Linked DNA regions of Daphnia pulex. The protein of the gene in region 1 purifies or fractionates together with the protein of each later gene. This does not show direct contact. Links are inferred from orthologs where the notes say so. Each region holds a gene or a part of one and is shown in the gene's direction. Other genes may lie near its edges.

Region 1 (3,292 bases):
CTGGAATCCACGGGTGAAGAGTACGAAAACGTGAAAAGAATTTTCAAGTCTAAGTCTCATGGAAACGAGATAAAACTGACGGGAGAAGAGAGGAAATTTTGCCTCAGGCGATAGATCCATGCCCCAAGAAGACTGTTGACCCTCAGCAGCTGAAAGCAAGCTTTCCTTTTTCTCTCCCGCAACTAACGTTCAAGCTAACATTTTCCCACGCAACTGATAACTTAGAAATCGATAACATCGCAAATCATCCAACCCAGTTTATTAAAGCGGATATGAAAACAAAACCTTTTTTTTTGTACGAAACTATTTGTCCTTTGCATCAGCGAAAAGGAGACGTTTTATACACGATCTGAAACAAAGAAACAATCAGGGGAAGATAAGGGAAGCTGCTTTTGCTTTGTTGCCTAATGACATAATAGATGTGGGAATGAGGGGAAAAAGGTGCCTGACCTGCTGAATAAATTCTTTTGCACACTGAACTCTTGAACCCATTATAAAGAAATTAACTTGAGCTACATTAAACACAACTAGGGTTATTGCGGGAAACCCATCTGAGGTAGTAGTAAACACAATGTTACAGTATAATCATTTGATAATTGAAAAAATAAGAAAATTTAGATATGTTTCCTGTACACTAGTAAGAAAATCTCTATTCTGCTTTACATTCAATCACTTAAGTGGTTGGTTATAATGGTATAATGCACTTTAGCTTTTCCCCTGGCTTTACGCCCAATATAAAATTGGGTACATAGTAAAACATCTTAAGCGTGATAAAAACAGATTTTTAAGATATACAATTTCTTGATAACAAATAAACCTAAAGGCAATTACCAGACAGTTGATGAAGTCCTGCTAAATGGATGTCCATGAAGGAAAAAGGAACAAAGCTGTCAAAAATGTCCCTCAACCTTAGATTCCTCCCAATACTCCGAATTAGACCTTCTCCGATCAAGTCTTCACAGTTTAAACGTGTTGTACACAAACTATTTGTAGTTTTGCTTTATCTGTGCAAATAAACTTTAAAAATGTCAGTTTTCACTGCGTAGAGCTAGAAACCAACTTCTTCGCGTCACAATACGCCTAGCGCCATGTTTTCTCTGAACGTGGCAACATGGAATACGAAGAGGGAGAGAACTTTTTGATTCTTTTCCAAATCGAACTTTGGACCGGTAAAACTTTATTTTAAAAACTGATATAAATTTTTCAAAGTATCAAATTTCAATAAATATTTTTTTGTGATAGGTTCTGAAAAATTATTGGACTGTCAACGAAACTTTAATCCGCAACTTAACAAATGGCAACACTAACAAATAGCAGACGAATTAAAACAAAAATAAAAATGTAGAAAAGCTCGAGTTCCTTTACTTCCGTAATCTTTACATTGTAACTTAGACAACTTGGTTTTTATTTATGTTTTCCGATGTCATCGAAAACGAAGAAGCGGTTTGACAGGCTGATCAGTTGCGTTAAATCCAATAATGTTGAACAACTGAAACATTACGCAAGAAGAAGGAAGTATGCTAAACTCCACCTGGACGAGATAGGTGTCAACAAAAAAGGAGAAACATTGTTACATCTGGCGTGTCGACAAGGAAAACATGAGATTGTTGCGTTCTTGTTGGAAAATTCTCTTGGAGACCCAACTTCAATGGATTGCAAGGGCAACACACCACTTCACCTGGCATTGAAAGCTATCATGAAAATTGACGGGAGAAATGAATATTTAACTGGTAAGTTATTTTTCGAAATCTATAGTAAATAAAGAAACTAGTACATTCAAATATTTTAGCTTACAGGAAAATGATACTTGCTCATCTTAAAGAAATGGCTGTTTCATTAACACAACCTAATCTGGAAGGCCAAACTGCCAAAGATCTTTTGGATCTTGCTGATTCTGTCTATGAGTATCATTTAGGAGGAAATGAAAAAAAGACAGAGTTTTCTCAACAGAAAGATGAAAAAGAATGGCAGAAGAAACTTTCAGCAGAACTAGATGATGAATATGGAAGTCACTGGGGAAAATATGAAGAAGATTTTGTTCAAGAGGATGTAAATGAAACAGAATCTTATGACTCCTGGGCCAAAAGAATGATTGATGAGCATAAGAAAAAAATGTCATATCAAAAGTTTCATATTACACCACCATCCCCACCAAAATTGAAGCCATCCTGGTCTACGGAAGATCAACAGCAATTCTTGCGGGATGAAGAAATGCGGAATGAATTTCGAAAAAAGGCTAAAGCTACTCAAAAGCTTACTACATTCCTTACCAAACTTAGTTTGTTGATTCAAACTGAAGATCAAATTGAAATATCAGACCTCCCATTTAAGCCCACAGATGATGTTGAATCGATTGGACAACTTATATTGGCGCACGTCAAGGATTTGGTAGATCCTGACGCCAAGAGGAAGGCATTGCGCGAGCTGCAGCGACTTTGGCATCCAGATAAATTTTCTCAGAAATTTGGCGTGCGTTTAAAAGAAGAAATACGTGAAAATGTTATGAAAAAAGTTACTGAAATTTCTCAATATTTGAATGCATTTAACTGCGTTTCTACAGTCACTAACAAGTGAAAGTGACAAAATTCTTGTGCTGTGTAAATAAAAAAAAACATTAAATATTTTCCAGAAAGTAATATTTTAAAAACCATCAAATTCAATTTTTATTTTAACAAGCGTTCGAAGCACAGTAGATTAGATAAACCGGAATTCGGAGCCTTCGTTGAAAACCTGTTTCTTGTTTTTAGATTTTAATAGAAAGAAAAAACGAAATTTTCTTGAAAAACCCCGCAAGACAGTTTCCGAAGGTTTCAGCAACTTACCAAGTAACGCTTTGCTTAAACCGTGCAACGTTGTACGATTCCCCTATATTGTTCACCTAATCAATTCTTAATCATTTTTTTTTTCAATGATTAATGAAAAGGAAAACTAATGAATACGTGATATGAGACTTAAATCGAAAATTTAAACAATTATATGTACGGGTTATCTTGGAAAAGTAATGCGTTTATTATACCCACGGGAATAATTGATCGCAAAAAGTAGATATGGATTCTCAATATAACAGATGGAGCGATTAGTCGTCTGTTAATTGGCTGAGTAGAAGTTATAATTTCCTGTTCATTCTTGTGAGGTTTTGATTGTTTTGATTTCGCCTTTGTTCGATCAAACTCCTTGTTTCCTTTGTTTACTTCTGTTTTGATGTTTTTTTGAAAATCATAAAAAACAGCAAAATGAGAACAGGATTTTATAAGATTGATTTAAATAAAACAGAATGGGAAGTCCCAGACAG
Region 2 (3,624 bases), on another chromosome or scaffold:
TTAGCGACAGTCTGCGAGCGGAAATCCATCGTCACAAGATTGATGTGACAGTCATTAACCCCGGATACATCCGCACAAGTTTGTCTCTGAACGCGCTGACGGGCCGAGGAGACAAATATGGACAGACGGATGAAACTACGGAGTCGGGAGCGGATCCACTCCAAGCTGCATATGAAATTGTCATTGCAATTAAGGAAAAAACCCAAGAGCTGATGCTCTGCTCACTCTTTTATCGTTTAGCAGTATTTCTTCGTGCAATTCTACCCAACGTTTATTTCAAACTTATGGCGCGTCGAGCGGCCAAGAGCAAAAAAAGTCGTTAATTTCTAGTAGAGAATCTCTAATACATTCTGATATAATAAGGATGTATTGTTCAGTTTGTACATTTGGGAAGTTTTCTTTATAACAAGACTACTTGAAGGCAATAAAGTACAGCTTCCAAAGGGTAATGCTAGCTGCTGTAACACAGATGGTGCAATGAAGAGTCTTCCGTTTGTTATCATCTCTTCTTACGAGAACTATGGGACTGGAAGTGGTCAACCTATTAACTGGTAATTTGGCCAGTCTTTTTGTATCCATTTCAACCTGAAGCAAAACCGATATCTGCTATGACCTTTGCCAACTTAGTCAAGTGTATGTATTCTACCTGGTATTTACAGCAAGGATCAAATTGCCAAGATGCTGTGTACAGTCCTGTACACAGCAAGGAAAGGAGACCTAATGGAGTGTATATGTATGGACGATTATCACAGAAAAATCCTAAACAGGAAATTTAACAAAATTAGACTTATATAATGCAACAACTGAATACTAGCAACAATTTACCTGTTATGACCGAACCAAGTCCAGCAAGTACTGCTGTCTTGTGAAGACAATTTCCAACGGCGATCCATCGCGCCGTTTCATCGCCTAGTCGAACTGGCTCAATGACAATTACTGGAACAGCAGCTTCCAGAGCTCGTTCTAGTTCTAGCTCAAATCTTTCCTGGGCGTTTTCACCGTCATAGATTTCTCTTACGACCGCTATTTCCGCCGAATGTGGCCCGCTAAAATTTGAAACAGCATCATAATATTATTGTGACGACCGGAAGCTTATAATATTTTTAAACAGTCATGCAAGGGATTACCTGCTCTTTCTCCTGTCTGCCATTTCTTTTGCCACTTGGCCAGTGTTTTCAAGTGGTTGCTATACGTACTGACGGCCTTGTAGAGTTTCGGCAACAGCCCAAAAACAATCATTGCCGAAACATTTTTTCGTTGCCGTCGGCTGTCGTACAACTAGTTTAACATTTTAATAATAAAAAATTAAATAATCTTTGATTTAATCTTTAAAAAATTCACATAACTTGTTCCAATTAAAAAACTATAACTTTACATTCATAAAAATAAAAACGAGAATCTATTTAATACAGGCAACGTTGTGCAAGTGGCATTAAGCGTCTGTTTTTAACGCTCCTCCCCTTTATCAACTCGTATGTTTTTCAATAAAACTTTCTGAAAATGTGAGTAAATCGAGTTAAATCCTCAGCATCATTTAATAATTTAGTAAATTTTTACGATGAATCTAAATTAACAATATTTTAAATTTGTGTAAATCACTTAGGCCGGACAAAGAAACTGGCGATCGAAAAGACCGGAAAGCCGGCGAAGATTCCAGTAAATCAAAAGATGCTAGCAAAGACAAAAAGGATACCAAAGATTCTGGGAAGAAAAAAGGCAGAGCTTCAAGCAGTGATAGTTCTTCAAGCAGAAGGTAGTGTTAAACTTTGTTGTGTTTAATGAAACCTTCAGCTTAATGTGACATTTCAGTTCTAGATCGTCCAGCAGCAGCAGTAGCAGCAGCTCTAGTTCACGATCATCCAGCAGTTCTTCTTCAGACTCTAGATCATCATCTAGTTCATCTAGCTCTTCTGATTCATCAGGTTCCTCACGTTCCAGCGGTTCATTAAAGAAGCACCAGAAAAAGAGGTAATTATTCTAGTTGGATGACGGTAAACAAGTTTCTTGTGATAACAGCATTTTTGTTGACGTACAGAGCCCCAGCGAGTGATAAGCCAAAAGTTGATAGCAAACCTGATGAAGAGAAAACAAAACTGGATGGAGAAAAGAATGTTGACAAAGACAGAAACAAAGAAAACAAACGATCCCGCTCTACATCTCCCCGGAGGCGTCGTCGCGATCGTTCACCTACACCCAAGCCACTTCGAATCCACATCGGCCGACTGACGCGCAATGTCAACAAGGAACACATTAACGAAATTTTCTCCGTTTACGGAACCATCAAAGCTGTCGAGTTTCCCAACGAACGTGCTGGGTTAAGTCACCTCCACCGGGGCTTTGCTTACATCGAGTTCAGTACTGCCGACGAAGCAGAAAATGCAATGAAGCATATGGACGGAGGTAAAGTAACGTTTGTTGGTTACTGCTATAAATACGTTTTTAATCTCAAATAATCTCTAGGCCAAATTGATGGACAAGAAATCACAGCCGCCCCTGTGCTGATCCCTAAAAACCGTCCACCACCACCTCGACGGAATTCACCACCCAGAAATCGACCGGGCCGTTGGGGCATGGGTGGTGGTCGATCTCCACCAAGGTAATATACTACTAAAGTAAATCTTTATTCCGGTTATTTGCATCTGTTGTGTTCATTTCTACAGATTCCGAAGACGTTCTCCCCTACGTCGACGATCTCCTCCACGAAGGGACAGAGATAGGAGACCACCTCCACCTGCCCGTTCCAGGTCTCGTTCACCCAATCGCCGTTCAGGTGGCAACAATCGCCGTTACAGTCGCAGTTCATCATCTTCTTCGCGTTAAATAAGACAATCATGATTTATTTAACGTTGAAGAACGTCCACTCTTTTTTTTTTATCAACTCAACTTTGTGCTCGTGATTCAGATTTTGCTTTCGCCCGAGCTGTTGCTGATGAGTCAATAGCGTAAATGCCACACGTATTCCGTAAATTTTCCCTTTTTCGATGGAATCCTGCAAGACGATACAATATCACCTGACAATGGCATTTGTCCTTCAGTTGTTTCTACTACATTTCTTTTTCATTTGAAATGAAAAGTCTTATTATTATTTTATCTATCAATTTAAAAAGTTACCCAACCGCAAGTTTATGTTGCCATCTGACGTTTTCCAGTAATCCGAGTAGTAATGCTTTCTTTTTAAAGTCAATGGCTGCTGGAGGAGAAACCGGATAAGCCTTAAAAAAAAACTAGTTGGATCTGTTTGTTGGAAACTCAATAGAAGTGTGTGTAGCGGGACATGACAAGTCAGAACACTTTCATTCCGGTTTACAAGTGACATGTGAAAGGCGGGAGATACGGTTTCGCCTCGGTGTTATAAACACAAAGAAAGGAACAGCAAATTTTTATCAGGGGGAGGGTAGAAATTTCTCACAACCGGAATGTAGCTGTTTCTAACTGCTTTTTTCCTCCTATGAAAAAGTCGATTTGGTAAATTGTGTTGTCTTCCTACATCCGGCAACGGCGCGCCCAACAGTTGGAACAAATTTGTTTGCACAGCTGTACTCAATTACGGAAGTCTGTTTGGTTCTTATTATCCTCTTAGCAGTCAGCGAATCGCATTGGAAATGTTTTTGAGAATATTTTGTT

What was found.
Region 2: the proteins of NF-kappa-B inhibitor-like protein 1 (region 1) and RNA-binding protein with serine-rich domain 1-B-like purify together in Homo sapiens (co-immunoprecipitation; 3 studies listed by BioGRID and IntAct, with this or other methods). This does not show direct contact. The link is inferred for Daphnia pulex from reciprocal best matches to the Homo sapiens genes NFKBIL1 and RNPS1.

What each region holds. Positions count from the first base shown.
Region 1 is NC_060018.1:4,544,076-4,547,367, reverse strand, and holds NF-kappa-B inhibitor-like protein 1, read left to right. Parts: upstream 1-1,303; 5' UTR 1,304-1,420; coding exon 1,421-1,730; intron 1,731-1,789; coding exon 1,790-2,574; 3' UTR 2,575-2,636; downstream 2,637-3,292. Other genes in the region: aryl hydrocarbon receptor nuclear translocator homolog, read right to left, coding at 1-120; mitogen-activated protein kinase p38b-like, read left to right, coding at 3,234-3,292. UniProt on the Homo sapiens protein: Involved in the regulation of innate immune response. Acts as negative regulator of Toll-like receptor and interferon-regulatory factor (IRF) signaling pathways.
Region 2 is NC_060025.1:2,684,606-2,688,229, reverse strand, and holds RNA-binding protein with serine-rich domain 1-B-like, read left to right. Parts: upstream 1-1,418; 5' UTR 1,419-1,500; coding exon 1,501-1,502; intron 1,503-1,603; coding exon 1,604-1,753; intron 1,754-1,809; coding exon 1,810-1,968; intron 1,969-2,035; coding exon 2,036-2,400; intron 2,401-2,460; coding exon 2,461-2,596; intron 2,597-2,660; coding exon 2,661-2,820; 3' UTR 2,821-3,034; downstream 3,035-3,624. Other genes in the region: dehydrogenase/reductase SDR family protein 7-like, read left to right, coding at 1-323; transmembrane protein 11, mitochondrial-like, read right to left, coding at 412-585, 647-759, 826-1,046, 1,128-1,150. UniProt on the Homo sapiens protein: Part of pre- and post-splicing multiprotein mRNP complexes. Auxiliary component of the splicing-dependent multiprotein exon junction complex (EJC) deposited at splice junction on mRNAs.